6 linked regions of the Sus scrofa genome follow. Each later gene encodes a partner of the first gene's protein in a complex. Links are inferred from orthologs where the notes say so. Each region holds a gene or a part of one and is shown on either strand. Other genes may lie near its edges. The genes, in order: TCTN1, TMEM216, TMEM67, TMEM107, TMEM17 and TMEM231.

What was found.
Region 2: TCTN1 (region 1) and TMEM216 share a complex: the UniProt entries of both Homo sapiens proteins name them as parts of the tectonic-like complex. The link is inferred for Sus scrofa from reciprocal best matches to the Homo sapiens genes TCTN1 and TMEM216.
Region 3: TCTN1 (region 1) and TMEM67 share a complex: the UniProt entries of both Homo sapiens proteins name them as parts of the tectonic-like complex. The link is inferred for Sus scrofa from reciprocal best matches to the Homo sapiens genes TCTN1 and TMEM67.
Region 4: TCTN1 (region 1) and TMEM107 share a complex: the UniProt entries of both Homo sapiens proteins name them as parts of the tectonic-like complex. The link is inferred for Sus scrofa from reciprocal best matches to the Homo sapiens genes TCTN1 and TMEM107.
Region 5: TCTN1 (region 1) and TMEM17 share a complex: the UniProt entries of both Homo sapiens proteins name them as parts of the tectonic-like complex. The link is inferred for Sus scrofa from reciprocal best matches to the Homo sapiens genes TCTN1 and TMEM17.
Region 6: TCTN1 (region 1) and TMEM231 share a complex: the UniProt entries of both Homo sapiens proteins name them as parts of the tectonic-like complex. The link is inferred for Sus scrofa from reciprocal best matches to the Homo sapiens genes TCTN1 and TMEM231.

What each region holds. Positions count from the first base shown.
Region 1 is NC_010456.5:32,003,506-32,008,205, forward strand, and holds part of TCTN1 (tectonic-1), read left to right. Parts: intron 1-1,006; coding exon 1,007-1,169; intron 1,170-3,156; coding exon 3,157-3,282; intron 3,283-3,331; exon of another isoform or gene 3,332-3,729; coding exon 3,730-3,873; 3' UTR 3,874-4,700. UniProt on the Homo sapiens protein: Component of the tectonic-like complex, a complex localized at the transition zone of primary cilia and acting as a barrier that prevents diffusion of transmembrane proteins between the cilia and plasma membranes.
Region 2 is NC_010444.4:10,118,680-10,123,892, forward strand, and holds the start of TMEM216 (transmembrane protein 216), read right to left. Parts: upstream 3,582-5,213; 5' UTR 2,959-3,581; coding exon 2,922-2,958; exon of another isoform or gene 2,908-2,921; intron 2,266-2,907; coding exon 2,164-2,265; intron 1,588-2,163; exon of another isoform or gene 1,482-1,587; intron 1,363-1,481; coding exon 1,270-1,362; intron 1-1,269. UniProt on the Homo sapiens protein: Part of the tectonic-like complex which is required for tissue-specific ciliogenesis and may regulate ciliary membrane composition.
Region 3 is NC_010446.5:42,896,264-42,900,963, reverse strand, and holds part of TMEM67 (meckelin), read left to right. Parts: intron 1-277; coding exon 278-376; intron 377-3,056; coding exon 3,057-3,155; intron 3,156-3,702; coding exon 3,703-3,789; intron 3,790-4,700. UniProt on the Homo sapiens protein: Required for ciliary structure and function. Part of the tectonic-like complex which is required for tissue-specific ciliogenesis and may regulate ciliary membrane composition.
Region 4 is NC_010454.4:53,393,684-53,399,079, forward strand, and holds TMEM107 (transmembrane protein 107), read right to left. Parts: upstream 3,382-5,396; 5' UTR 3,238-3,381; coding exon 3,151-3,237; intron 2,982-3,150; coding exon 2,914-2,981; intron 2,812-2,913; coding exon 2,711-2,811; intron 1,962-2,710; coding exon 1,865-1,961; intron 1,641-1,864; coding exon 1,571-1,640; 3' UTR 817-1,570; downstream 1-816. UniProt on the Homo sapiens protein: Plays a role in cilia formation and embryonic patterning. Requires for normal Sonic hedgehog (Shh) signaling in the neural tube and acts in combination with GLI2 and GLI3 to pattern ventral and intermediate neuronal cell types.
Region 5 is NC_010445.4:79,414,197-79,419,413, forward strand, and holds the start of TMEM17 (transmembrane protein 17), read left to right. Parts: upstream 1-1,570; 5' UTR 1,571-1,626; coding exon 1,627-1,726; intron 1,727-5,217. UniProt on the Homo sapiens protein: Transmembrane component of the tectonic-like complex, a complex localized at the transition zone of primary cilia and acting as a barrier that prevents diffusion of transmembrane proteins between the cilia and plasma membranes.
Region 6 is NC_010448.4:12,160,100-12,164,799, reverse strand, and holds the end of TMEM231 (transmembrane protein 231), read right to left. Parts: intron 3,028-4,700; coding exon 2,922-3,027; intron 2,552-2,921; coding exon 2,371-2,551; 3' UTR 906-2,370; downstream 1-905. UniProt on the Homo sapiens protein: Transmembrane component of the tectonic-like complex, a complex localized at the transition zone of primary cilia and acting as a barrier that prevents diffusion of transmembrane proteins between the cilia and plasma membranes.

The sequences.
Region 1 (4,700 bases):
TTCTGAATTTTAATATACTCAGCACAGCTAACCTAATGAGAAGAAGCCTGAATGTGATCTCTGTTTGTAATTTGTTTTTTTATTTTCAAACATAATGTAAAATGTCAAACAGCTCTGGATGGCATGTTCTAAAGATAGCAGTTCTTACCCTCATTTTCCCCATCCCAGAGGCAGTCCCTTTCAACTGTTATAGCTGATTTTTTGAAAATTTACCCCCAAATCTTTAGCCTACATATGAGACTACTTCTTGATTTTTTGTTTTATAACTTATTTTAATTTTTTATTAACGTAAATTGATCTACAATGTTCCAGGTGCACAGAAAAATGATTCAGTTATCCATATGTGTGTGTGTGTGTGTGAACTTGTGTGTGTATGTGTGTATATACACACACACACATACATATCTATTCTCTTTCAGATTTTTTTTCCATTATGGGTATTACAAAATACTGAATCGGAGTTTCTGTTGTGGCTCAGAGGGTTAAGAACCCGACTGGTATCCATGAGGATGCGGATTTGATCCCTGGCCTCTCTCAGTAGCTTAAGGATCTGGTGTTGCCATGAGCTGTGATGTGGGTTGCAGATGTGGCTTGGGATCTGGTATTGCTGTGGCTGTTTGGCTGTCAGCTGTCCCTCTGATTTGAACCCTAGCCTGGGAACTTCCATATGCCAAGTGTGTGGCCTTAAAAAGAAAAAAAAAAAAAAAAAAAAAAAAAATCAAACTAGTGACTGTAGTTCTCTGTGCCCTACAGTAGGTCTTTGTTGTTTATCTACTTTATTCTACTTATTTATTGAGTTCCCACTGTGGAGGGTGAAGATTTGGCTCTTTCTCCTTTGATCCCTATCCCACCACACACTGCTTCCCATCCTTATATCTCCCCAGGATATCGACATCCTTATTTTGGTTAGACCAGTATTCATCACTGACATTAATTAAAAAAGAAAAACTGCAGGTATGAACGAACAATCACCTCATTCAATTGACCTTGTTTTCCTTCCCAAAAGGCTGACCAAAACTATCACATGTCGGCTGGCAGCCCAGAAGGTGAAGAGCCTGCTGAAGGGTCAGGGCTTCCCAGATTACGTGGCCCCATTTGGAAATTCCCAGGCCCAGGATGTGCTGGACTGGGTGCCCATCCACTTCATCACCCAGACATCCCATGTGAAGGTAAAAGGGGAGAAGTTGGAAGGCCACATGCCGGTGGGTAGGGGGCACCTATTGTTGTGGGGGTGCTCTGGATAGGAGCCTGGACAATGTTGTCAGATGGACCTGGATCCTGAGTCCTGATTTTGCCCCACTGTTGCCTTTGGCCAGCAGCTGGATGGGTTTGAGCCTGTTTCCTCACCTGATAGCTCTGGTACCAACCCCATGGGCTTGTTGAGGGTTAAATGACGTGATGTTCATGGTGCCTAGAGGTTAGTCTATACATGGGAACCGCGACCAGTCGCCATCCTGTTCCTGGTTGGCGTTATACGAGGCCTCCTTTAGACATCGTGATATGATAGCTGTGTCAGGATTGTCTCAGCAAGACTCCCCCATCCACATAGCTGTCCCATCCATTGTTCCCTGGTTTATAAAAGCAGTCCACATGTGAGTGCTTTCAATTCTAAAGTTCCTGAAGGAGTTTAATGGAAGTTGACATCCTACAAATAGGTTCCGGATCACATGTGGTTCTTCTGCCCACCTTTTTCTTTTGTCTCAGCAGTCAGAGTGTGGGCCGCCGTCACTGGAGGCGTGCTCTCCATCTTATCCTTTAATTGCCCAGCTTTTGCTTGTCACAGTTGCTTCAGGCCTCTCATTATCTGCTTGGTGTATTTATAGCTCGGGGATAAAGGGGGTGAAGACTAGCTCGCTAGCTCTGATCCCGCCCTCCCCACCCGGTGCCCAGCGGAGACCTGTGATTACTCAGTCCCTGCTGTTCAGCTGCTGAGTCTTGGCTCAGCTCTGTTGCCCCATTGAACCAGGCAGGCTGCTTGGGGCTTCTCAGAGATGGGTTCAGACATCCAATTATGACCTCCCCCTCAGAAGGGAAGACAGAGTTGGCGGAGAGAGGCAGCAGGATGGACATAAGCACTGCCCAGGTCTGTGCTGGTCCAGGGAGCTCAGAGGGCCGGGAGCAGGTTCCGTACCAGCCTTCCGGGTGGAGCGGCATGAGAGTATCTGCTAGACTCAGTCCGTATCAGCTGCATCTCCTCCTAATAATATTCTCAAGGATTTTTCAGCCTGTAGATTTCTTCAAAGGCAGTTCTAAGCCAAGGAATCTCACCCGTGCCTCTTTGGCAGGCACCAAATTTAGCAGGCCTGCTAGCTTCTCATGCCCTAAAGAGATGTATCTTTAAAAACTTTTTACTGTGGGAAACTTTCTTACCTACACAGAAGTAGAACACTACAGTGGAATTCCATCTCCCACTGTACGGCTTCAACATTATCACGTTTACCAACTGAAGAAACTAAAGGCAAGAAAGAGGTCTGGAAGGCCCACTTGCCAATTTTCCCCATGGGGCAGACCAAACAAAGGTCCTAGGGCAGAGGCCTCAGGCCTGGCTCCTAGTGTCCAGCCTGCACTTGGGTAGCGCCACTGTGGCGCCAGTGCTCTCGGTTCAGATGGAGAGTTAATGTCTTTGACAACTTAAGACACTGTCTGTTTACCCTGATGTAACATCTTCATTGCCAACTGGTGAAATCAGATAAATGAGAAGAAAGCCCTTAAATTTTCTCTAAGTGCATTTTAACATGGTATGCAGTCAGGTTTTATTTCTCTCTGATAATAATACTACTTCCCACTCCCTCCCCTGTTGCCAGTTTCTCCTCTAAGGTATCTCTGTGGTGGATGTAAACAGGTAGGTGAGGTTAGAGCTCCTAAAGCCCTGGAGGTTCCACATTTAGCTATTAGAGTTACCACAACTCCCAGGTAAATGCTGGCCTCTTTAGAAATAGGAAGGGATGGAAAAATTATGCTTTAGGTGGAGCATTGAGTACTTTAAAATATGTGCTTTCTCTAAGCTGTTTTTATCTGAACTTCTAGAGTCTATTCATTCTCTTGTTCAGAACATTTTGTAATATGTGAAACATTTTATAATTAAAACTCTGAACTGCAGATTAAGTTTGACTTGAGGTTGTATAATACGTTGATTAATGGCATTTTGTTTTGCAGGATTCTTGCCAGCTCCCAGTGGCTTTGGCTATAGAAGTGAAGTGGACTAAATATGGATCCTTATTGAACCCACAGGCTAAAATAGTCAATGTAACTGCAAATCTAATTTCATCTTCTTTTTCTGAGGTAGGCCTAACTTTAAAGGTATGGGTTAAGACATGAGTCCAGACAAAACTCAGTTGTGATAGATGAAATTTATTATTTTGTAAAAAAAAAAAAAAAGAATAATTAAAATTTAAACAATCTGAATTGTTAAAACAGCTTAGCAGTCATTATCTTTTAGAGGAAAAAAATTCCACTGAACACAGTGGTTTTAGTCACATTAGCATTCTTGTTTAGATTTGAAATTTACAATTCTCATGAAAATTGAGCTGTGAATGATATTGATGTGTTAGGACAACCTGAATGACAGCTGTCTCCTCTGAGTTAATGGCTGATGAGCCCTCTGCGTGGCTACCAGATTCATGAACCGACAGCAGTTGGGTGAGGAAGGGAATGAGAGCTGTCCCACCTTTGTTATCCTGGTAACACGCTGGAAGGCAGGGCTTGCATCACTCTGACTTTTTATTACAGACCCACTTAGGAAATGAAAGGACAATTCTTATTTCTACTGCGGTTACTTTTGTGGATGTATCTGCACCTGCAGAGGCAGGCTTCAGAGCTCGGCCAACCATCAACGCCAGGCTGCCCTTTAATTTCTTCTTCCCGTTTGTTTGACGTAAGTCATTAAACAAGGAAACTACACCACGCCTGTAGACTCGAGCATGTGGGGACCCAGCGTCCCTCAGAGACACTCCACTTTATTATACTTAAAACCCTTGAGGTTGCCCCCAAACCAACACACTTCCCCTCGCCACTCACTCCCCTCCTTTCTTTTCTCCTGTTGGCAATTTCATTTTACTTGGTTTAACTTAAAAGGGGCCCCCATCTGGTCTTGGTCATTACCAGTGCTCTCAACACATAGGTCACTTGTGGAGACCAAGTTGCAACCTTGGGAAGACAGCGAAGTAATCAGACCTTGAAGTAGCGCAGGCATTGAGGGTTTATCCAGTTTATTCATCCCCTGCTTTAATGTGAGTTATTTAAAAAATATTCATTGTTTTTTAGTTCAGGTTTTCTATCTTTTCAGGTCCTGTTGAAATGAGTACAAAAATAGCAAATTATTGTATAAAATCGTGCAAACAGAGTACAAGGTCTCACGAGGGGATCTTCCTCCAAATGTCATGTTAATTACAGTGGCATCTTGGTCTAATTGCCATTTCTGTACTAGGCACTGGAGCCAGCCTGCTCTCCAGCTGGTGGGCTGGAATGGGATGCCACAGAGTGGTTCCAAGCAGTTGAAGCTGGAAAGAATATAGTAGGAGGGCCCAAGGGAAGGAGAGAGTTTATTTTGTACATTAATTGTACAGTAATTGAGAAAAATGTTGTCAGGTGGCAGAACTAGGTGGAACCAGCTAAGAGCTGGAGGATGCAGAGAGGGGGCAGGGGAGAACAGCTCCTGGGGGGAACTTGCGATAAGCTGTTTAGATCAGAACAGCTTGGAA
Region 2 (5,213 bases), on another chromosome or scaffold:
ACAAACAAACAAAAAAACTATTAGCCAAAAGGCTGCACTTATTTATATTTATATCCCATAAATAAATGGGATATAAATACCCACATGAGTGCAGGAACAGAGACTTGTTCCTCAAACAGGCATTTGAATTCTGGGTATTTGGAAATCTTTTTAATCTGATGGGTAAAAATGTCACCTTGTTTTTCCAATTTGCTTTTTATTAGTGAGTTTGGGCATTTTATAATGTTTACTGGTCCTTTGTGATTCTTCTTTTTTTTTGCCATTTCTTGGGCCGATCCCGCTGCATATGGAGTTTCGCAGCTAGGGAGCTGTAGCCTCTGGCCTACACCAGAGCCATAGCAATGCGGGATCTGAGCCACGTCTGCGACCCACACCACAGCTCACGGCAACACCAGATCCTTAACCCACTGAGCAAGAGCAGGGATCGAACCCACAACCTCATGGATACTAGTCAGGCACATTGCCATTGAGCCACAACAGAAACTCCCAGTGCACTTTTTTTTAGGGCCACACCCACGGCATATGGAGGTCCCCAGGCTAGGGGCTGAAATGGAGAAGCTGCAGCTACCAGCCACAGCCACAGCCACACAGGATCTGAGCCATGTCTGCGACCTACACCACAGCTCACGGCAACACTGGATCCTTAACCCACTGAGCGGGGCCGGGAATTGAGCCCGTATCCTCATGGATACTAGTTGGGTTCTTAACCTGCTGAGCCACAAAGGGAACTCCTCCCTTGCTAATTTTTAAAACGAGGTTATCTTTTTCTTAGTTCTTTATGTGAACCTCTTTTTGTTGAAGTTATTTTTTTCCCTCAGTGTATGTTTTAACACCGTTTTCAGGGATGAGGTAACTCATGAGGGATTGCTCTGTACCTCCGGGGATGTAAACTTGTCCTAGAGAAATCCTTTTTCAGAGAACCGGAGGGGACCTTATTGCTGATCTACTGCCCTGGACATGGAGTTACAACGAAATCTCTTCTCCCAAGAAACCAGTGAGAGGAACCAGGCACTCCTGTAGTTAGATAATCGGGAAGGAATGATCTAATATCTCATGCCGCCACCCACCTGTGGCGCAACAGAGCAATAGACAGGTAAGTCTTGACCCCAAGTATGAAGCCGCCTGAAACTTCAGAGAGGGTGTAACGGGATATGCCACCAGATCCACTCTCTCATTGTGAGCCAAGGTTAAGTGCTTTTCTTTGTTCATCAAGTTACAGATACCAGCTCATCTCGCAAGGAATGGAAATAGCCTCTGGACAACACTCACCAAAAAACAGTCGAATTGCTTCAATGCCAAGATAAAGGAAGAGCATCACCACATCCAGGACCAGATTGGCTGTTGGATATGGTAGCAGGAGACCTGCGATACAAAAGCCAGAGTTTGCAAACAACGTCGAACAGCACACACAAGGTCTCCCACTCACTTGGGAATAAAGAGAACATGAGTCTTATCATGTTCTCTTCCCATGAGCTACTTACTGAGATACGGGCAGGATCCGTTAACTCATGGTGCGGCTATGTCTGTTAGAGGCAGGCTCGTAATTATGGGCTTTTACTCCTAACTCCAAGAGTCTGTGGGGCTCTACTGCATATGGAATGGATGGGTGGTCAGTGGGGACCTGCTATTTATAGCACAGGGAACTCTACTCAGTATTCTGTGATAACCTACATGGGAAAAGAATCTGGAAAGGAATGGAGATGTGGATATGTGTAAATGAATCACTCTGTTGTACAGCAGAAATTATCGCAACATTGCAAATCAATTTATAGTTGCAATCACTATACTTCAATAAAACCTTAAAAAAAAAAAAGATTCTGTGGGGACGCCACTCTCCAGTTATCAGATCAGATGTACACGGATATACGGCGCTGAATAGCTTCTGAGGGTCACCAATGGGCTTAAAGTGGAGTTCAGCAAAGAGAGGTGACAGGGGAGAGTCAGAAGGGAGAAGCCCCCATTTCCCAAACTCAAGAAATTCTTGCTGAGTGGCTTCCTACTGAATCATTCTCAAGGAAGCCATCTGATGAAGAGACCTTGCAGTGAAGAAGAGCTGCAGGGGAGCAGAAAAGAATGAAAAAATAAGGCTTTGGGTGGGAGCTGGCTCTGGGCTGAAGTGGGGAAGGGATGTTGGGGAAAGGGTAGTTAAACCCCAGACCTTACCTTTATACAGAAATATGAAGAGTTCCAGCAGGAAATAGGTAGCATAATACCACCCGTTCAGAAAGAAGAGGATTTCCAGGGGGGTGGAAGATAACCGTTTACCTGAAAATAGGAGCACAGAGAAAAGAGACGGGCTGGAGGGCAGGCAGCTCAACCCCAGTTATTTGAATGGTTCTGTGTCTAACTTGGAGGAAACAGGAGGCCGCAGCTGGTGGAAAGGGCCACTGGCGGCACTTCTGATTGTTGATGAGAAGGTGTCTGTGTGGTGTGTGTGTGTGTGTGTGTGCACGCGCGTGTGCGTACGGAGTGTGGAGGGGTTTCAGCTGACAGAAAGGGTCCCTGGGGGCACTTCTGTTTGCTGATGAGGAGTGAGTGTGTGTGTGTGTTTCCTTCAATCTCCTCCTTTCCAGAATCGCCATCAAACTCTACCGCTTCGGCTTTGGGGGTGAAAGTCAGGGATCTAACCTCGTCGCTATTTAGGAAGGAAAACTGGGACCCAGAGACAGCACTGGCCAGTGTGAAGCCACGCTGCAAATTCCTATTGAGCCGGCCTAGAACAGGCTGAGCCAAGGATTTGGGGGTATTTGAGACCCACATCTCGAGACCTTCTGGCACTCAGGGTAGGTGAGGCTGCTAAACCCTGCTGTGGACAAGTGAGGAGAATGGAGGGTTCAGGTCGACGCTGGGAGAGGAGGGCGGGGTGGGGGGGGAAACTGAAGGGATCAGGACCAGCAACTCACACACCTCCAGAACCTCACCTCGCGGCGCCATCTTCAGTCCCCATGGAAACTGCATACGCGGCTACAGCACTCCTGGAGCAGCGAGGCGTTGCCGGAAGCGAGGGACGGAGCGGCCCTGGATTCGGGCCCTTCTATCCGCCTGCTGCACTCGATGGTTACCTGGGGCCGGGGGCACTCTTGTGACGGCCACGCCTGCGCCGGGAGGAGCGCGGGCCGCGAACCGACTTCGCTGGGGTTTTGGCAGAGGACTGATAAGAAAGCAGATGATGTCGTCTGCAGGACTCCGAGGGCGGGGCAGTTTTCGCCCCGCCCCCATCCCAAATTTACCAGGAATTGTTCGAAGCAGCCAGTAGTGGTAATGTGATCAGAGTTGGTGAATAGGCCCTGGTCCCATGGTTTCTTTACTAACATGGGTCTTAAAATGAGAAATAGTGTGCGCGACAGTGCGCTGCAAATGCGGCGTGGAGTTTGGGGATCCTTTGTGTAAACAGTCTTTTTCTGAGGGGAGGGGATGCGGGGGTAGGGTTTTTCTATGCATCTGATTTATGTACCAGGGAGTTAGAAGATACCAAAGTTGGAGTTTCCCTTGTGGCTCAGCGGAAAGGAACCTGACTGGTATCTATGAGGATGCAAGTTGGATCCTTGGCCTTGCTCAGTGGGTTAAGGATCCAGCGCTGTGGTTAACTGTGGTGTAGGTTGCAGACGTGGCCAGGATCCCAGGTTGCTGTGGCATAGACTGGCAGCTACAGCTTCAATTCGACCCCCAGCCTGGGAACATCCATGTGCCACGGCTGCGGCCCTAAAAACTAAAAAGACAAACAAAATAAAAAAAATAAAAAGAAGAAGAAGAAGGTACCAAAGTTAGTCGGAACTGGAGGCTCCTTTCAAGGAGCATAAATAAGAGCAAAAGATGAAATATAATCAGCACTTGACCCCAATGTGCAGTGGCAGTTGAGAAGACAAAGTACTCTCGGTAGGGGTTGGGAGACGTTTCCAAGACATGGCCTGTAAACTGGGCTTTGAAACTTGTTATGATTTGGAGCAGTAAAAATGTGTTACCCCACAGGGCAGGGGACTAGGAAGAAGGGTTGTTTTTTGCTTTTTTAAAATTTTGTTTATTGTAGTTGATACAATGTTCTGTCAATTTCTGCTGTACAGTAAAGTGACCCAGTTACACATATACATACATTCTTTTTCTTACATTTTCCTCCATCATGTTCCATCACAGGAAGAAGGGGTTTGAATGGACTCAGGGTGACATAGGGGTTAGCCCACTGTCAGGAAGGGTAGGACAGGAAAAAGATGTCACACTTGTAGACTTTTAAAAAATGCGCAATGTGAGAATTGTGAGTTAAATTTTTGGGCCGTCAAAGTGAGGACTATAGCCTGGGAGGCAGCATTTCAGATAGCTCTGGAAAAAAAAATGCTCCAAAAAAGTGGGGGCAATGCCAGTATATATGTGATTTTGGTGAAAGGGGTGGTACAATTTAGCAGAAAGTTACTCTCCTTTGGTGAAGTTTCCCGCTAGTCATGAGGAGCAGGCATCACCATGAAGGATTTTAGCGCTTTTCTAGATATGAGGAGATGCCAGGATTGGGTTCATAAAGTCTTCTCCCCAAAACACCTATCTGAAGACCTGTTTCTTCCAGTTTTTTTGGGGGGGACACAGCCACATCCATGAAATACATCTGCTTTCATGTAATAGGCTTTCATGCTTTCAGGCTGAGTCGTTGCATCACTTGTTAGGACTATATGGCTCACAGGCTTAAATATTTACAATCTGGCCCTTTAAGTAAAATTTTGCTGACTCCTGTCATAGACAGCAAGGAGTAGCTCCCATCGGTGCTAAAAATAGGCAATAAGATTGAAATAACAAACACAGGAGCATCATTGTGGCATCCTGGTTCCCTGGTACCCAGGGCCTATGAGTAACACAATGAGCTTGAGTTCGGCAGTGAGAGACCTTGGTTCTTATCTTCCTTGGGGGAAGAATTCAGCAAGGTGACCAAGACCGTGAAGCAGGTGCAGTTTATTAAAAGCACAGTATGGAGAGTTCCTGTTGTGGCATAGCTGAAACGAATTTGACTTTTATCCATGAGGATGTGCTTCCATTCCTAGCCTTGCTCAGTGGGTTGGAGATCCGGCATCACCGTGAGCTGCAGTGTAGGTCAGAGACAAGGCTTGGATCCTGAGTTGCTGTGGCTGTGGCGTAGGTCGGCAGCTGTGGCTCTGATTCAGCTCCTAGCCTGGGAACTTTTATATGCCTCAGGTGTAGCCCTAAAAAAGCAAAAATAAAGTACAGTATGTGTG
Region 3 (4,700 bases), on another chromosome or scaffold:
AGGAGCTGTCCCTTTGTCCATATTGATTTCTTTATTATTTATTTGAAACAGTATGGACTAATTAGTATTTATTTATTCTAGCAATAATGATTCATTACTATTTTCTTGCTCACATTGTCCCAGATTTGGCCACTGGGAGTTCCTTTAATTTGGCTCCAGTGTCCTTTTATCATACCTTCCACCACCACTTTTTGAGTACTTCCTTACTTTTTATTTACAATATCTTTGAACGTTGATGAGAGAAAGCACATAAATTCCAAAGTGTTTTTTCCTTTAGATTGCTTTGGGTGTGTTGGGTGGACTAGCTGTTTTGTCATCTCTCTTGAAGACAGCAGGGTGGAAGAGACGCATTGGAAGTCCCATGATTGATTTACAGGTATGACTGCAGGAATTTTTAAAGTGTATTTTTTATCTTCTATTTCATATTCTTCTAAGAAGACCCAGCTAGAAAATGGGTAAAAAGTTGCCTCAAGTTTCTCTGGGTGGTAATTAGGAGAGGTGTATGTTCGTTTCTCTCCCACATTGCTGTAGGCCTGTCTACACCCACCAATCCTTGTGGTTTTCTCACAGCCTCACCAGTCCTTGTGGTTTTTCCAGTCTTTCCATTTTTTGCCAATCTGGTGGGATAGGTGGTATGTCATTGTTGATTTAATTTTCATTTCTCTGATTACTTTTCATATGCTTTGCTAATCATTTGAGTTTCTCCTTCTGTGAACTTCCTATTTATATCACTTGCCCATTTTTCTATTAAATTTCCAGTTTTTCTTTCTTTTTTTTTTTTTTTTTTTTTTTTTTTTTTGCTTTTTGGGCCACACCCGTGGCATAAGGAAGTTCCCAGGCTGAGGGTCTAATCAGAGCTGCAGCTGCTGGCCTACACCACAGCCACAGCAACACGGGCTCTGAGCCGAACCTCAACCTGCTGAGCAAGGCCAGGGATCAAACCCACATCCTCATGGCTACTAGCCAGGTTCTTAACCTGCTGAGCCATGACGGGAACTCCCAAGTTTCCAGTTTTTCTTGTTTATTTAAACATGTTTTTTTACTTTACTTATTTTAAGGAGTTTTTAAATATTTTCTGAATATGAATCCCCTTTTGGTTTTTGATGTTGAAATTTCTTCTCCACGGGGGATTTATTTGTTATTTTATGTATGTGTTACTTTGTTTAACAGAAACTCTTTATTTTATTTTATTTATTTATTTAGTTTTAACCTTTTTTTTTTTTCTCTCTTTTTTTTTTTTTGTAGGGCTGCACCCATGGCATAGGGATGTTCCCAGGCTAAGGATCCAATCAGAGCTACAGCTGCTGACCTACATCACAGCCACAGCAACGCAGGATCCGAGCCGTGTCTGTGACCTATACCATAGCTTACAGCAGTGCCAGATCTTTAACCCACCAATCGAAGTGAGGGATTGAACCCGAAACCTCACGGTTCCTAGCTGGTTGCATTTCCACTGCGCCATGATGGGTACTCCTGAAACTCTTGATTTTAATATTGTACTTCTGACTAGGTTTTCATATTATGGTATGTGCTTTTAGGATCATGTTAAGAAAACTCCCTCTTGGAATTCCCATCATGGCGCAGTGGAAACGAATCCAACTAGGTTGTGGGTTTGATCCCTGGACTCACTCAGTGGGTTAAGGATCTGGCATTGCTGTGAGCTGTGGTATAGGTCACAGACGTGGCTCAGATCCTGTGTTGCTGTGGCTGTGGCTGTGGCTGTGGCTGTGGCTGGTAGCTGTAGCTCTCATTCAACCCTTAGCCTGGGAACCTCCATATGTCTCAAGTGCAGCCCTAAAAAGTAAAAAAAAAGAAGAAGAAAACTCCCCCATCTCAAGATCAAAAAGATACTCTCCCATGTTTTATTCTATTAACTTTATGGTTTCATTTCTCATCTAATCCTTTTTAATATTTGGGGTTTTTTTTGTTTTTTCTTTTTTTCTTTTTAGGGCTGCACTTGCTACATATGGAGATTCCCAGGCTGGGAGTCAAATCAGTGCTCTAGCTGCCTGCCTACACCACAGCCATAGCAACTTGGGATCTGAGCCACATCAGCGACCTGCACCACAGCTCATGGCAACGTCGGATCCTTAACCTATTGAGGGAGGCCAGGGATTGAACCTGCATCCTCGTGGATACTAGTCAGATTTGTTTCTGCTTAGCCATGACAGGAACTCCTCATTTAATATTTATAGCAACAAAGTAAGAGGTGGTTATTTTCATTTAGCAGATTAAGAACATAAAGGCAAGGCAGTACACTTATTTGTACTGTGATGTCTTCCTGACTCCAGAGCTAAAGTGCCAAGGAATCAGAGAAGAGGGGCTTGATAAAGGCTTCCCAGAGAAGTGAACTTTCTGCTGGGTTATCTGTGCAGTCTACAAATAGTCTCTGATGGCCTATGCCCAGCACGCCAGGATCTCTACCAGGCTCTGGGGATGTGATAGTGAACAAAGAGAGACACGTTCTCTGCCCTCAGAGCTCACTAGAGTTTGCCAGAAAGAAGAAGGGAATAATATTTGATGAGACAATGCCCATAATAATCCTCAAAACATTTTGCTTGAAGGTATGGAGTGGTCAGTTGTTGATTAAGCAGTTGGAACTGGCAGATAATGCTAAAACTTTAATTTTGGTTTAGGTTGTGGAGGACCCTTTGGGTCAGGAATTTACATTTTAGTGAGGAGTCACTATATGTTTTTAAGAATGAGAGTGATGCAAATTAAATTTATATTTTTGGGAGCCAACTCTGGTAGTAATAATATGGAGGATAGATTGGGGAGAAGGGTTCCAGACTAGAAGAAAATTAGGAAGCGGTTTATAACTTTTCAGATGGTGAAAGATGAGAAGGGTTGACTAAGACAGAGGCTGTTGAGAATGGATCGAAAGGTTGGGACCCTAAAGGCTACTAGGAAGTGGCTGCAGTTGTCTTTCTAACTGATCCATGGATACATGAAACAAAGCTTCAAGCTTGAGAAACTTGGTTGATAATGTGTTACTAAAGGTAATAGTATAAATAGATTGAGTCTATTATAGCTGTAATTCTCTTTTCTAATTGCAGACCGTTATGAAATTCTTGTTTTACTATGCCGGTGATCTGGCCAATGTTTTCTTTACCATCACTTTGGGAACTGGTCTTTACTGGCTTATCTTCTTCAAAGTAAGTGATTTTCTGAATTTAACCTTAAGTGCCAATACCTAAATAACTGCTAAGCTCTTTTTAGAAAGGAACTATTTTTATTTGGGGGTATTTCTTTCTTTCTTTTTTTTTTTTTTTTTTGGCTTTTGTTTTTTATCTTTTTAGGGCTACACCCGTGGCATATGGAGGTTCCCAGGCTAGGCGTCTAATTGGAGCTGTTACTGCCAGCCTACGTCAGAGCCACAGCAACGCCAGATCCAAGCCACATCTGTGACCTACACCACAGCTCACGGCAACGTCTGATCCTTAACCCACTGATCGAGGCCAGGGATCAAATCCTCAACCTCACGGTTCCTAGTTGGATTCATTTCCCCTGCGCCACAATGGGAACTCCTATTTGAAGGTATTTCTGTTAAGAGTATTGAGGCAAGTTGCTAAACTCACCATTCCCTGAGTGTCCTGTGTTTATCAAGTGCATCACCACCTTCATCCTTTATGCTTTCTTGTTATCAATAGTGTTAGTAAAAATATTGTATGATCATATTTAGTGGCATAATTTTTATCACAGGCACAGATGTCTGTCTCTGTTTTGCTACCAACGCCGGCTCAAGAAAAACGTTTTGTTACTTACGTGGGATGTGCTTTTGCTCTGAAGGTAAGTTTCTTTTTCTTTCTTTTTTTTTTTAATTTTTTTATTTTTTCCATTATAGCTGGTGTACAGTGATCTGTCAGTTTTCTACTATACAGCAAAGTGATCCAGTCACACATACATATACACATTCTTTTTCTCACATTATCCTCCATCATGCTCCATCATAAGTGACTAGATATAGTTCCCAGTGCTATACAGCAGGATCTCATTGTTGGAAGGTGAATTTCAAAGCACAGATCCCTGAATTTAAAAGGCCTGCTAATAAACACTTAAGTCTTTAACATGAAAATGCTTTCAAAACCTTTAGTGTAAAATTTAGTCTAATTTTGGAAGAAAACACGTATTCTATTTTACTAGGAAGTCTACTTTTATTTATAATAAATAACTCATTCTGAAAATCTGCCTTTAAAATTTTTTAATTATTTAATTTAATCTGTTAGTTGAGAGTAGAAGGTACCATGCTGACAAAGTGCTCAACTCTCCACATTAGTTCTCTCTGCTTCCATATTCCTTTCCTCCTCTTTCCATGGCAACCCCTTTCCCTACTTGACTGTTGTGTCAATGGACGGGAAGCTCCTTAATGTGCCCCTGTGGTGGATCTCATCCAGTTGTGGTTGTTAAGAGCCTGCTGTCCCCACTGATCTGTGAGCTTCATGAAGAGAGGAATCATCCCATACTTAGATTTTTATCCTTTGTTTGATCAGTAACGCTCCAACTAGGACAGTGCCTCAGTTTAAATGTATTCCATACATGAAAAATGTGTTTTTAATCAGAACTGTCAATACCAGAAATAGAAAAAATTAATTACGGTAAGCAAATTATAGTTGAAAATACCTTTACTTATAAAGAAGTTATGTGATCTAGAAAACAAAACATGCTTTTGGAAGCCATGAGAAAGAGTCTGCGCAAGATTC
Region 4 (5,396 bases), on another chromosome or scaffold:
GTCCACCCCCCCTGCCCATCTGCTTCAGGCACACTCCACGACCTCACTCAAATTGCTCCTGGAGAAGCAACACTTGTACCACTTTGGGCAAATTAATCCCTACTCCATAGCCTCCATAGTCGCCTTTATAGCATTTATCATAATTCGCTATTAAATTACTCTGAGAATACTAGAAATTGTCTCTTGTCTGCCTCCATGAGCCATATCTATCATGCATCTGTGAGGGCCAAGGCGAGTACCGAGCATATTCACATTTATTCCCTCAGTACTACAGCGCTCTGCATATAGGAATTGCTCAGTTTTTGTTTTTTGCTTGGTTTTGTTTTTTGAGTGATAGTAAGAATGAAAGGCTGCCAGAAGGGACAGAGAGCTAGGATAAAATTATCTGTGTGTAGGCATCACCAGAAAGCATCTCCAGGGATGGCTGGGCTCCACCATTCCACTCAGTAATGAATCTAAACATGACCCTGAGAATACACATGCTTTAACACCGACCTTCAGACTCCTGCAGTCTGTGTATATAATGCGAAGCAGCATTCTCTTGAACGTGTTGTCATCACCACCTCCCAGGCAGCAGCAGCAGGGAGTTCCCTGCAGACTACTGAGTGGATTCAGAACCTGGACCAACCTTCCGGTGGAAACTGCAGCCATTGAGACTAAAAAGGAAGCCTGCTCCGCGGCAGAAGGGATTTGAGGAGTTAGCACTACACTAACATCCGCGACAAGAGCCACAATTGAAAAGAAAGTACTAGCAAGAAATAGGAAGTACAACGTCTTCCCTACAACAACAGCTTTCTAACCGTGAAGACTCTGATAAAAAGCGCTGATCGTCAGGAAGAATCAGATAGGAGCAATCAGGGTGTTGCAAGTCCTGATTACGCAGAGCCGTTAATCACGAATCATGCGAGCTCCAATCATCATTTTCCATTCTGCCCTCCCGAAGGAGGAACAGGTAAGGATTATCCTACCTGACGATAAGAACGTTTAGCGTGACATTCCGCACTCTGGGAAAAAGATTCCTCTCAAAGATAGGATGAGTAAACACTGCGTTGGTCCGAGCAACTAAGCCTACTTGGGTTCTTCTGTATATTTTGGTACATTTATTTCCAAATGTTTTAAAATAAGTTTTTCCATTTGGCTATCAAAAATGGATAAGCTAATTCCTCCCAGAATGCTCCACTCACTTACCAGCCGGGTGTCCCACCCGTAAGTACCGCCTTATTTACATATCCCCGCCCACCCTCCCGCCAGACTTCTACCGTAATAACCAAAATAAAAGCGAATATACTATTTTACAGTCCGCAGGCCTAGAAAACAGCCATCACTTTGGCCACCCCAATTTTCATCTGAAATTTTTATAAGTCGATCATATTCTAAAAATATATTTATTACAAAGAACTATAAGCAAAGCACACATAATTTCAGACTCGAGAGATAATTACTATTACACTGATACCCTCCATGACGCAGTTTTGGAGGAAGAGCTGGAGCCTCTGACTTCCTTCTTCCAGGAACGGTGAGCGATCCCTCGCTCTTCCAGCCTTCATCCGTACTTCCGGTCATGAAGGTATCAGAAAGGTTTCTTTTTCAGCCCAAAGACGCTGATGAATAACGCTATTTCAGTGACGGCTGGGAGGGCACTGCGGAAGATAGGTGGTGGTTTCGGGGTCCCCTTCATCCAATAAAAAAATCCAAATCCCCAAGCCAGAGATACCACCCCCAAATGTAGGAGGGAGGGGACTTCAAAAAAGGATGTTGAGTGGATCTGATATTTTATACATGGAGTAAAGAGCTGGGTGAGGGAAATCTTCAGATTTAGAGTTAATGTTGCTTTCCCATGCCCAAACATTGGGTGCTACCGTACCTGCAGAAGACAAAAATGTACCAGTACGTGGTGCATTCCCAACGCTCAAATATGAAAAAGGACAGGGCCACAGATGCACTACAGTGAGCCCCAATGGCTTGGAACACACTAGAGTCAAGGAAATCCTTTGGATCAATAGGTAGTAATGGGTCAGAAAAGGCCGGTTTGGGGGCTGGCATCTACATTCAGGTTTACATCCTAGGAAGCGGGGCACCTCTTGCTCCTCTTACCACACTGCAAAGGCCAGAGCCAGCAGCCCTGAATCCTGAGTTTTAGGGCAGCCATGTGAGTAGAGGAGCTGAGTCTGCACAGCTGGGACCTTAAGCAACCCCCACCCCATATCTAGCCTGGACCGTTCAGGTGAGGTAGTAGCCTCCCCATCTGTTCCAAGCACTCTGTGACCTTTTACTCTCTGCTGGAATCACTTTCCAGCACCCTGGTCCTCCCTGACCACAATTCAAGTACCAAAGCCTTCCCTAATCCATCTCCCTCACGTCCTCTGTCTCGTCTGTGTCCCCACAAGCTTCATATCTTTACACATCCCGTGGCACAGTGCTTATCACACGGAATTACAGATGTCTGTCTGTGTCTAACTCTTCCTCAAGGTAGAAAATTGTGTTTTACTCCCATTTTGAGATCTCCAGTGACTGATGTATAGCAGGAGCTTAACAGATGCCCAAAGATTGTATTAAATCTCCCACAGTGCCTAAGAAGATTTCTCAACTGGAGGGACTCTGTTTGCCTACTAGAACAAACACCAATGTACCAGAAAGGCCTAGTTAGGTGGCGGAGAGGAGCTGTGATGAAAATGGCCGGTGCAGGAAAGGTGCACGGAAGAAAGGATACAGATGAGGCTCTGGGTGCTGTTGAACATGGAAACTCCTGAGAAGAAACCGACCAGCTCCACTGCAAAGAGGCCCAGGGTGACAGAAAGCGCTGCCACCAGCCTGCAGAAAGGAAGGGTGTGGGCTTAGGCCTCTTGAACTTTTTCTAAGACCCCTTCACTTCCACGACTGCTTAATTCTGACCACCCTGCCCCAGGTGCTCACTGAATATCCTGCTTCTCATACTCCTCAGGGGTGAACGTGAGAGGCAGGCAGGCCTGGATGTTGCTGTCCTGAGGAGCAGGGCAGAAAGAAAGAAGTTGAGAGAGGGGCGGCGGTGGCGGGGTGGGGGCGGGGGGGGGAGCACCCGACCGGGTAAGCCCCCGGGGAGAGGCGTAGAGTGGGGCCAGGACCACTCCAAGGTGGGAGCGTGGACTAACGGAGCGGGGCCGTGGGTCTTACCCTGGACCAGAATAAGGTGATGACGACCACCAGATGCGCCAGGAGCGTCAGGAAGCGAGAGGGCACGAGCCCCGAGACCCGGCTCATGGCCCCCAGGGGACGGGGTACTGCCTGGAGCAGAGGCCGGGGTTTCTAGGGCTGGAAACTCGGGGAGGGCCAGTCCTCAAGTCTCCTAGGCTAGCAGACAAAAATTCGACGTTCGCCTCCTTCCCGCTCGCGCTGGCACCGCCCAGTTGCCTTGGTAACTGCGGTAGCTGGTGCTGCGACCGGATCTCTGAAAATCTCGCGAGAGCATTAAACTGTCAAGCAGCTGCGTGCCGTCGCGGGACTGCAAGTCAGGTTGCGTCGTACTTGATTCCGGCGGGAGGCCGATTATCCGTTGCCTGGTCACTAGCAGCCGAGCGGTCAGCACCGAGTGTGCGGTGGCGCTGCCCTGCATCGTCCAGTCTGCCCGCGCAGCGCCGGCGAACGGAAACCCTCCGGGCCTAGCCTGGGACCCCCCCCTTCTCCGGATGCCCACGCCGGGTGCAGCCCGACCCCCAACCCCTGCTGCGTTGTCCCGGATGAACCTCCGGACACGGCTGTCTGTGCCTGAGGCCTGGATGCTCTCTCTCCTTCCCTCCTCCGCATTCCTTTAGCTCCCACGTGCCCTGGGCCGAACGTGGAGAGGTGGATGTGCCTATGTTGTCCGGCTGCCACTTGTTGTCCCAGAGCCCCTGGTCGTTGGAGGACCCCATACCTGCACCTTCGTTGATTCTAGTTCCCCCTCCCTCACGCCCCAGACACCTTTGCTCAGACTGGTGAGGGATTTGCACATCGCGGAAAGTGGCCCGCTCTCTTGGACTAGGGTGTGCCCCAAGAAGTGTGTTTGGGGAAGAGAGGGAACAAAGAGGACCAGAAAGGGCTGGGGATGGGGGTGGAGGCAGGGAATGAGACCTTGCGTCCCCGGGAGGCCAGGAGCGAGGGTGTCGATGCAGACTCTGCAAGGATTTCCTTATCTCTTTGAGGCGTGGGCACTTGACTTTGCCCAGCTACTATCCAAGCATCTCTCACTATCAGCGACCTCCCTGACCTTTGGGCCTCAAAAGGGTTCCAGGCAGAACGGAAAGTTCTGGCCGGAGTTCATTTCTCATATGCACAACCTCACAGGGACCTCCCTACCCTCTTACCGGATCATCGCTCTTCTTCCCGTTGCCAATGATAATAATCAATAAAGGATCTAAAATAAGAATTGAAGAAAATTTCATTTGAGCCAAACTACTGAGTAGCCCTGAATCTGCTTCCCATATCACTCTTAGAAACTGCTCAGAAGATGCATGATTTCCAGCACTGTATTATATCCTGTCAGAACAAAGAATATTAAACAAGTCGGGGCTGCAATTCTTCAAGATTGAAAAAAAAAAAAAAAGAACAGGCCAGCACCTACGCAGTGAGTTAGTATGTCCTTGGCACCTGGGAAGGGAGTCTTATCATCCAGGGAGTGCCAGCACTGGCACCCCAGGAAGAGGGCACATTATTTTTAACAATGGGTATTCTTTTCTTCTGGTTCCTGTGCCTGTTTCTATAACAATTAAAGCAGATGTGGAATGTTTGACAGGCCACAAATAGGCTTTCGTGTGTGTGTGTGTGTGTGTGTGTGTGTGTGTGTGTGTGTGTGTGTGTGTGTCTTTTTAGGGCCGCACCTGCGGCATATGAAAGTTCCCAGGCTAAGGATTGAATCTGAGCTGCGCCACAGCCACACAGGATCCGAGCCGCATCTGCAACCGACACCACAGGCCACAGACAACGCTGGATCCTTAACCCACTGAGCGAAGCCAGGGATTGTATCCACTGTCCTCATGGATACTAGTCGGGTTCATTAACCACTGAGCCACCACGGGGACCTCCCAAAGAGGCTATTTTAGTTAGCATAAAATTCAGGTTAACTCATGTGTCAGCCAGAATGTCTTCCCTAGATCTCAATGTGTGACAACTTATTTTATCAATTTTATCAATACTCTCCATCTTATGCTTCTAGGCTGATTTAAACGACAAGCCCAAGAGGCATTTTTTATTTCTTCATTCATTCAACAAATACTCATTGACCAGCTAGTAAGTCCCAGGCACTGTGCTGGGCTCTTGTACTTGAGAAACAGACAGAAGTCTCTACCTTTGTGGGGGTCAGAGAGACTGACATGAAATATGAAAACAAATAATGAATCTGCATGATAATAGCACCATAAAGAAAAAATATTTAAAGGGAAATA
Region 5 (5,217 bases), on another chromosome or scaffold:
TTCTTTTTTTAAAGCACTTGCTGTATGATTACTTTTATATAAAGAATAAAAATAGGCAAAACTATTCTATGGTATTAGAAGTCAGGAAAGGTTAGTTAGAAGTGGAGGGTTAGTGACTGCAAGGAAATAGGAAGGGAGAGCTTCTGAGGGTACTGGTAAAGTTAAGTTTCTTTTTTTTTTTTTCTTTTTCTTTGCTTTTTAGGGCCACACCCATGGCATATGGAGGCTCCCAGGCTAGGAGTCCAATCCGAGCTACAGCTGAAGGCCTATGCCACAGCAACACAGGATCCAAGCCGCATCTGCAACCAACACCACAGCTCAAGGCAACACCAGATCCTAAGCAAGGCCAGGAATTGAACCCGCAACCTCGTGGTTCCTAGTGGGATTTGTTTCCACTGTGCCACAACTGAAACTCCAAAGTTACATTTCTTGATCTGGGTTCTTGTTACACCTGTATATTCAGTTTGTACACTTTTCTGTACATAATTGTACCTAACCAGTTTGTCTGTTTGTTTGTTTGTCTGTCTGTCTGAAACGATACATCTTATTTGAGGGAAAGCTAGAAAAATACTAAGTGGTTAAATTTTTTTTTCTTTTTATAGCAACACCTGTGACATATGGAAGTTTCCTGGCTAGGGGTCTAATTGGAGCTGCAGCTGCAGGCCTATGCCACAGCAACTCCGGATCTCTAACCAACCAAGGCCAGGGTCCCAACCCACATCCTCACAGAGACTATGTTGGGTTCTTAAACCCCCGAGCCACAACAGGAATTCCTATTTTAAATTTTTTAAATCACCCACAATCACTATCTAGACATTACTACTAACATTTTGGATTATTTTCTTCTAGTCTTCTTTTGAAGCCACAGTGCTTGTGCCATCTTCTCCCCCTCTCTGCTCCCCATATATTTACACACACACATTTTACTAAATTAGGTTCATTCCTACTTAGTTTTACTTCTGGTTTTTTTTAATTTAAAGTTAACCCATCATTAAATATTCATTGCAAACATGCTTTTAAACTGCTTCAATGTATTTCACCCAATATATATGTGTATCGTATATATATGCTATGTATATATATATAATATTCCTAATATATAACGTATTCCTATAAGAGAGTATGTATGTGTATACATACATATGTGTCTGTATACATACGGCATGCATATATTAAAAAATATTCCTAGGATGTAATAATATCACACACACACACACACACACACACACACACACACACACACACAAGCTACTGGGTCATGAACAGTCTGTTAACTCAGCATTCATTCTATATTTTCTCCCAGAAAGATTGTATCCCACTGGCAAGGTCTTAGAGCTCCTTGTATCACAATCCAACTCTAGTCACTAATTATTATTTTTATTCCTTTTTTAAAATGGTGGCCGTTAAAGCAGGACTTAGGAATCTGCGGTTTGGCATCATGCTGAGGCGCTGGGCAGGAACTGGCTCCCTGCACTCCTCTATCTTCCAGGGCTGCCTGGCGCCTCAGCCCGCAGCGGGGCCGCGCGTGCGCCCCAGCCCCCAGCCTCGCGCGGCCCGGTTGCTGTGGGAACCTCAAAGCGCCACGGTGCCCGAAGACCCAGGTGGGAGCAGTACTGAGGCCTGAGCATGGAGCTGCCGGATCCGGTCCGCCAGCGGCTGGGAAACTTCAGCCGGACCGTGTTCAGCGACTCCAACCGGACCGGGCCGGAGTATAGCGAGGGTCCGGGTGAGTGGCCGAGGCTCAGCGCAGCGCGTGGAGCGGCCAGATTTTGCCCAGACCAAAGATGGCGGTTTCGTCTTCAGAGAGTTCACCGCAGTGCGGGAGGCTCCTTGGAGGAGGGGCTGGGCCTGGGGCTGGGGCTAGGACCAGATATTCGGGGCCAAATACCCAGGCGGTCTTCGGCTGATGGTGCTGTAGCCTCGCGGGCGAATTGCAAGAGGGGCGGCCGACGTGGCGCCAGCCTTCCTCAAAAAATACAAGAACAAAACCCGCCTTCGCATTCCGCGTCCAGTCCCGCGCCCTCCGAGAAGGCTGAGAAGGCCGACTTTGCTTTTCCTCTGCGGCATCCGCCCTGGCATATTATGTCCAGGATGGAGTGAAAACAGCCCAGGCAATCTCCCCGTCCCACCCCACCCCCAACCCCAGTAAAATATCTTTTCCTTTTTTTCTTTTCTACCAGAACAAGTATGTTCCACCACAAGTCCGTTTTCTGGCAGAAAGCATGAAAAGTTTTTGTTTTTGTTTTAATGAACTATTTTAAACGCTATCCAATTCAGAGTGGCAGCTGCCACACTAGCATCGTCTCCAACAAAACTCACCCTCTCCCTGCTTTCTTCTCCTTCCCTATATATAACTCTTGCCCTAAATCAAGTAACAGAATACCATGATGCTACATTCAACATGACAAGTGACAACGCAGTTTCCTGCAGTTTCCCCCTCTTAAATCATGATGATAGACAACATACTGTGAACCAAACCCGTGCGCTTTTTATCACTGAACTGTGCTGGGAAATAGAAATCTTTTCCTTTTGCTTGGTTTAGGGATTTTTTTTTTTTTTTTTTTTTTTTTTTTAAGGAGGCAGAGAGAAGTCTGTTCCCATAGTTTCATTTTCCACGCTGATTACTAGCCTGTCCCTCCAATTTAAGCCTCCATGATTTAGGATGTACAGAGAAAAACATAATGTGAAAAAAAAATTGACTTTTACATTTCTGATTCTAAAGCTTAACAGGCACTAAAATCTGATGATGTAAAGTATCAGGGGTTTTCTGTAAAGGGCCAGATAGTAAATATTTGAGACCTTGCAGGCCATAGATGCATGTAGCAGCCATAGATGATGGTAATTGAATGGACTTGGCAGTGTTCCAATAAAACTTTATTTATGGATGCTAAAATTTGAATTTCCTATGATTTTCAGTGTCGCAAAATATTATTCTTTGATATTTTTTCTCAGCCATTTAAAAATGTGAAAAAACCATTTTTAGCTCACTTGCTATACAAAAACAGGCAGCTGGCTGGTAGTCTGCCTACCCCTGATTTATACTATAAAATGTTTTAATTTAAATTCCATTTATAGAACTCAACTTGTACTTTTGCAAAATTTAGTAAATTCATGTCTTGTGCTTGCTTTCAAAGTTCATTTACATATTAACTTGATTTTCAACTGCATGATTATAAGTTTGATCTCTGAAATATAGACATAGCATAACTCTTAAGAGGCTTGTGTACAAAATTCTTAACATAATAACTTCTTTGCAAAATTTGACTACAGTGTTTGCTCTAAAGTTATTAAAATTTTCAGCTTAACTAATTTATCATATTTTTCCACATTTTCCTCTTTGTGGATCTGAAATAGGTTCGATTATTTGTACTGTAAATACAAGGGTATATTATGACCTTGTCCACAGCTGACCAAGAGTTGTATGGTTGTTATGAAAAAAAATCCTAGGCAGGTGAGTTATCTTCAGATTTAACAGATTTTAAGAATGCATGCCTTGATCAGTGGCAATTTAATCAATAAGTACAAGCAAAAGTAGATCATAATCACACAATGTTTAAAAAGTAGATCATAATAACGAGGGATATTCTTGGAGCTAAAGAAAACCTTGCTATGAGAGACTGTGATTATTTTACATTTTAAAATTGTTAAATGATAGATATAAAATACTCAGCTATAGAGAAAAATAAAAATATACTTTTAAGAAATTTTAGAGCCTTCAGCAGTTAACGAACCCAACTAGGGTCCATGAGGATGCGGGTTCTATCCCTGGCCTCGCTCAGTGGATTAAGGATCTAGTGTTGCCATGAGCTGTGGGGTAGGTCCCAGACTCGATCAGATCCCGAGTTGCTGTGTCTGTGGTGTAGGCCAGTGGCTATAGCTCCGATTTGATCCCTAGCATGAGAACTTCCTATGGCAGCCCTAAAAAAAAAAAAAAAAAAATTTAGTCTTTGTAAATCCATTCTTTTAGAACTGTGGATTTCAAAGTATGTTATCTGTTCTTAAATTGTTAGAATTTTTAGTCAAATTTAGGATGCATTTGTAGGGCTCATTTGTTTCTAATTTATAAAGTCTTTTTATATTTTTTCCTTTTTAAAAAAACAAAGGATAGTTGATTTAGAGTGTTGTGCCAAATTTCTGCTGTATAGCAAAGTGACCCAGTCATATATATATATATACACATATATATAAATATATATACATATATACACACACACACACACACACACACACATTCCTTTTCATATCTTCCATCATGGTCTATCCCTAGAGACCAGATATATTTCCCTGTGCAATACAGTAGGACCTCATTGCTTATCCATTAAAAATCCAATGTACTATCAGTTGTGCCACAGAGCTGCCTTGTAGGGGGGCTCAATTTTAAAAATCAAATTCTTGGAGTTTCCATTGTGGCACAGTGGAAACGAATCCCACTAGGAACTATGATGTTATGGGTTCAATCCCTGGCCTTGCTCAGTGGGTTAAGGATCTGGAGTTGTTGTGAGCTGTGATGTAGGTCACAGATGCTGCTCGGATCTGGCGTCGCTGTGGTGTAGACTGGCAGCTGCAGCTATAATCAACTTTAGATAAATGAAACTCATTCATGTATCATGAATGGCTGTACTGCTAATGTCCTTAATTCTTTCTACTTATTTGTATTTGGTCTTTACCTTGTGTAAAGCAAGATGCTATGTTCTGTGAGGGTCTCAAATTTGAGTATATTGTGGTCTGTGGTTACAGTGAGTTTGTGTATAAGTCAACAAAGAGAAGGAATTAGGAGACTAATATTTATTGAGTGCCTACTGAGGGCCAGGCAGGGTTCTATAGTGAAGTAATTTCTATTATCTTTAATCCTCACAAACAACCTGTGAGGTGATTTTAATATTACCATTTTACAGATAAAGAAATTAAGGCTCAAAGAGTCCTAAAATGGCATCCAGAGTTCTGAGGGCATTTGGGGAGTTCTGGGTTTACTTGGACTCCAAAGCCTCAGTATGCCTGAAAAAGGGTGAGTTTAATTATAACTTAGGGTGATTGGGGGTTTGTTTGCTTGTTTTTGTTTTGTTTTTTAGGGCCGCACCCGACACTTATGGAAGTTCCCAGGCTAGGGGTTGAATCAGAGCTGCAGCTGCTGGCCTACACCACAGCCACAACAATGGGGGATCCAAGCCAGGTCTGCCACCTACACCACAGCTCACGGCAACACTGGATCCTTAACCT
Region 6 (4,700 bases), on another chromosome or scaffold:
TCCACTGCACCACATCAGGAACTCCCAACAGTGATAACCTCTGGAGAGCGATTTACAGACAACTTATTCTCTTTAGGTTTCTGCAATTACACATTTTCTCCTATAGGCATTTAGAACCTATGGGGGAAAATTTTTTTTAAGCGTGTACTTGAAGAAAAAGAAGACTTTATTAATCTTAGATGATGGGAGCTAAGTGGGACTTTATGGGCCTCACCTGATTCAAAAGAAACGGGATAATCATTTGGCAAAATTAGGGATTTCCCCTGCCAAATATTAATTGTCTCAAACCATGACTTAGCCAGCGGATAAAATCCTATATATTTCTCACCTTTGCCTCCTCTGGCACCTACAACGTGCAGATTCAGGTTCAGAGCTGGCAAGGGGGGATCTGTAAATAACTTGATATTCACTAGACGCAGCTGTAATTTTCCAGCCTGTGGTTTCCACATGCCGTGTGGATTCCACCAAAAACTCACGTTTACTTGGGGCTGGGCCAGAAGGCTGTGGCCAAAGAGCTAACAAAAGCTCCACGGTCTTTGGGCAGAGCCCTGGCAAAGCAAGCCGCTAGTGAGTAACCCGGAGAGGTGTGTCCGGCCTCTGCCCTCCCTGTCCTTCCCCTTTCCAAATGCCTGCCCTCTAAAAAGCCACATGCAGCCTTGCAGTTTGAACATTTTAATTAGAAAGTTACAAAACATCGTGGCTCTCTGTACACATTTTGCTTGAAAATAACTTAATAAAAGGCAAAGCCGTGTTTATACATATCTCTAGCTATCTTTCCTTACCTCGTTACGTTTTGGTGATTCAAACCAGAAATGATTTTTCACTTAAGTCTCAGGGAAAAAAAACTTTAGGCATAACAACAGCCCTGACTATTAAAAGAAAAGGCAGAGGGGCCAGGGTTCAGCTGTTTTTGTGCGTGAATACGTCAAAGGCGCTTTGTTTCCAAAACTCTTTATTTTGGTCAGCCTGAAAGAAGAGGTGCTTGGGAAGTAAGACCTGAGTCTCCAGGGGAAACTGAGGCATGCCATGTGCCCATGAGTGTGTGTGTGTGTGTGTGTGTGTGTGTGTGTGTGTGTGTGTGTGGATGGGCATGAAGTGTAGGTCACAGAAGCCATGTCCTTCCAGTGCCAGTGACATCTCGGTGTCACAAAGCAGGTCCAGCAGTCCTTAGGGCGAGGTCAGTTGTTCCACAGGCGACAGAGGCTGGTTCCAGTGGCCTCGTCTGCAGACACTCACTTAGTCATGAGGGTAATTTGGCTGGACTGTGTGTCACTCCGCTAAGTGGCTTGGACTCCCCGGGCTAGCATCCTTTTCGTCCCCTCCCTGCTCCTCGGGGGTCCTCCCCAAAGCGGCCCCCTCTGATGGGCGTCCTGCTGGCCCTGCAAGTAAACTCTGTGGTTGTCAGGCAGGGGGAGCCCACAGCAACAACAGCGCCTCTGTCCCCCGTGTCCTTTTCAAGAAGGGGAGGGCTGTCAAGGAGAAGGAGTGGCAAGTGTCCAGGCTGTTGGGCGAGGGCCAGAGAGAAAGAAGCTGTTGTTAGGCTCCTTACTTCCCCCACCGGGGCCAAGGGGCTTGTGAATGAACCAGCCCGGCGGACCGCAGCCCGCTATTCCAGGGGCACAGACGGAGGGCCGAGAGCCAGGCACAGCAGGGCAGGGATAAAGGGCTGTTGAGCTGGGCTGCTGACAGACGACTGTCTGTTAGGCTCAGGGCAGGTGGACGGATGGTCCTGGTGACCTCAAGTCGCCCACCCTGGCGCACGTGCACACATGTGCTCCGGAGCGCTCCCCGGTTTCGCTCCAGGGGTCCGGTTAAAGGCCTCTCAGTTCTGGAAACGAGTTCTGAATGGGAAACGTCGATGCCCAGGAGGGCAAAGTGCTGGTGATTTGCATATCTATCACCAGGGGGCCCTGGAAGGAGTAAGAACCGTGGTGGACACTGGGGGGAAAGAAATGCAGAGCGCTTTTCTCAGTTCAAGGGAGGAAAAGTCTTTGCTTGACCAGAGATGGGACTCTTTCCAAGAGGTCTGAACTGACTGGGGTTTTCTCCTGACATTCAAGTCTGAGGCAAAAAAAAAAAAAAAAAAAAAAAAAAAAAATCCAAAAACAAAAACCAAAGCAAATTACAGCCTTCAGGAACCCTCAGCCCGTTTCCACAAACTAGTCCCTGATTATTTTTGTAGGCGCTTAGAAGATATGGCATTTGTGTAGAGGATAATGAGACAGGATTGTTCTTTGTCTCCGACACGGGAAATCACAGAGGCGGGCAAGTGTCCAGGGCTTCTTTTTAGAAATTTCGTAACATGGCAGGTCTCGGGAGGCAATGGTGAGACAGCCAGGGTCCGGCTTAGAGTTTTCCGAAAGGGTCTTCTTAGGATAAGTGCTCCTTGTATGGTTCTCCCTGCGACCCTGCTGTGACAGGGACTGTGGTCACCACCTGATTTTGAAACACAAACCTCTTGATTCTTTCAAACACCCAGAGGAAGATGAGCAGGATACTGACATACTGGACCCAGGCAAACTTTATCATTTCCCAGAATCCCGGGAGATAAGTACCAACAGTTAAGGAATCACAGATGACATTTTCTAAGTAAATGTTAAACCAGAGGTTTAGTTGAGACAGAAAATGACAAAAATGTTTCAAATACCCTTAAGATAAAAGAGACAATAAAAGATTATTAAGACATAAATATGGATGCTTCTGACCTAGAAGAACTGCTCAAAAAGAAATAGGAACAGGAAATGAATTTTTTTTTTTTCTCTGTATCAACTGCAGACAAACAGAGTCATATCTGTGAGACTCCAGTGGCAGCAATTTCCAATCTGAGACTTCCCACATCTGTTCCTTTTGGGGACAACTGTGGAATCCTTCTTTTCTTTTGTGAAACCGAGCTCCTGTTGGCCCTTTACCAGAAAGGATATGAAATGACTTCCACAGGGTATCGGATGACAGCATTAATTACAAATGGAGCTTCTGCAGCCCTTCCCACCAGCCAGATGGGGTTGGGGTTGGTCAGGATGGTGGTTACTGCAATACAATCGGGACTTAGTCCATGAATGCTCTTTTAGGCAATAAAATAGTCAAGGCTATAAGAACAATCTGACCTCAGGCAAATTCTACACTGCAGAACTCATCCCCAAGAAATAACTTTTTTTGGTCTTTTTTTTTTTTTTTTTTCTTTTTCTAGGGCCACACCTGCGGCATATGGAGGTTCCCAGGCTAGGGGTCGAATCGGTGCTGTAGCCGCCGGCCTACACCACAGCCACAGTAATGCGGGATCCGAGTCGTGTCTGCAACCTACACCACAGCTCACGACAACACTGGATCCTTAACCCAGTGAGCGAGGCCAGGGATCGAACCCGCAACCTCATGGTTCCTAGTCGGATTCGTTAACCACTGAGCCATGACGGGACCTCCACCCAAGAAATAATTTGAAAGGAAAGAGAAATGGAACATGCAGAGTTGCTCACACATTATTTGTTAAAATACTTGTCAGAATACATTAAAAACTTGAAAAGTCTGTGTCTTCTACAACTGTTGAATGGCTAAGCAAAAGAATACTATACTACCACGAAAAAGAAAACCAATTAAAACTTTGTAGCCGTGTGGGGAAATATTTATATTACAAAGTACAAAAATAAGGTGGATCGTAAAGTGTCTCTAAACTATGATAAGAGCTGTATAAAAAAAAAAACCTGTGTTTGGACAAAGACTGGAAGCCATAAAGAGAAAAGTTGACTTGTAGATAAATGGGGGTTTTTTTGGCCACGCCCACAGCATGTGCAAACTCCCAGGTCAGGGATCAAACCTGCACCACAGCAGGGACAACACCAGATCTTTAACCTGCTGGGCCACCAGGGAACTTCTGTGGATAAATGTTTTTAAGGTGATCTAAAATCCCTTTATTTGGGGAATAATGCTGCTGGTGTAGTACATAAAATCAGAAGGAAATACTGGAATTGCAGTCCCCTGACTTGGTATATGTCAGTGAAGAGTATCTATGACGTCTGGCTGCCAAGCAACGCTTTAGATGCCTTTAGAGAAAACCTCAGACCACCAACCAGCCAGATGTGCTGAGCCAAGCACACAGGCTGGCCTGCGAGCTCCTCCGCTGTGAGGGATGGACCCCCTCTGCCTTCCAGCCCGAAGCCTGGGTGCTCGCTCCTACTTCAGCCGCTGCCATGTGAGTCGCTCACATGCCCTATTTCCACCTGAAAACTATGGAGAGCAGCTTGTCTTTGGCTTATTTTATACGTGTGGTGCGGGGAGCACCTCAAGGGTGGCAGAGAATTGGCAGGAACCTGCTGGAGCATGGGAGCAGTGGAGGGGAGGGATAGGGCGTGAGGGAAAAAAGGAGAAATCCTGAGTACCCTGTTCACCTCCCACGACTAAGCATTCACTGGTTTTGATTTTTTTTGTTTTTGTCTTTTTGCCTTTTCTAGGGCTGCTCCCCGCGGCATATGGAGGTTCCCAGGCTAGGGATCTAATTGGAGCTGTAGCCACCGGCCTACACCAGAGCCACAGCAACGCGGGATCTGAGCCACGTCTGCGACCTACCCCACAGCTCACGGCAATGCCGGATCCTTAACCCACGGAGCGAGGCCAGGGATTGAACCCGTAACCTCATGGTTCCGAGTCGGATTTGTTAACCACTGCGCCACGGTGGGAACTCCTGGTTTTGATATTTTCACATGACAAGG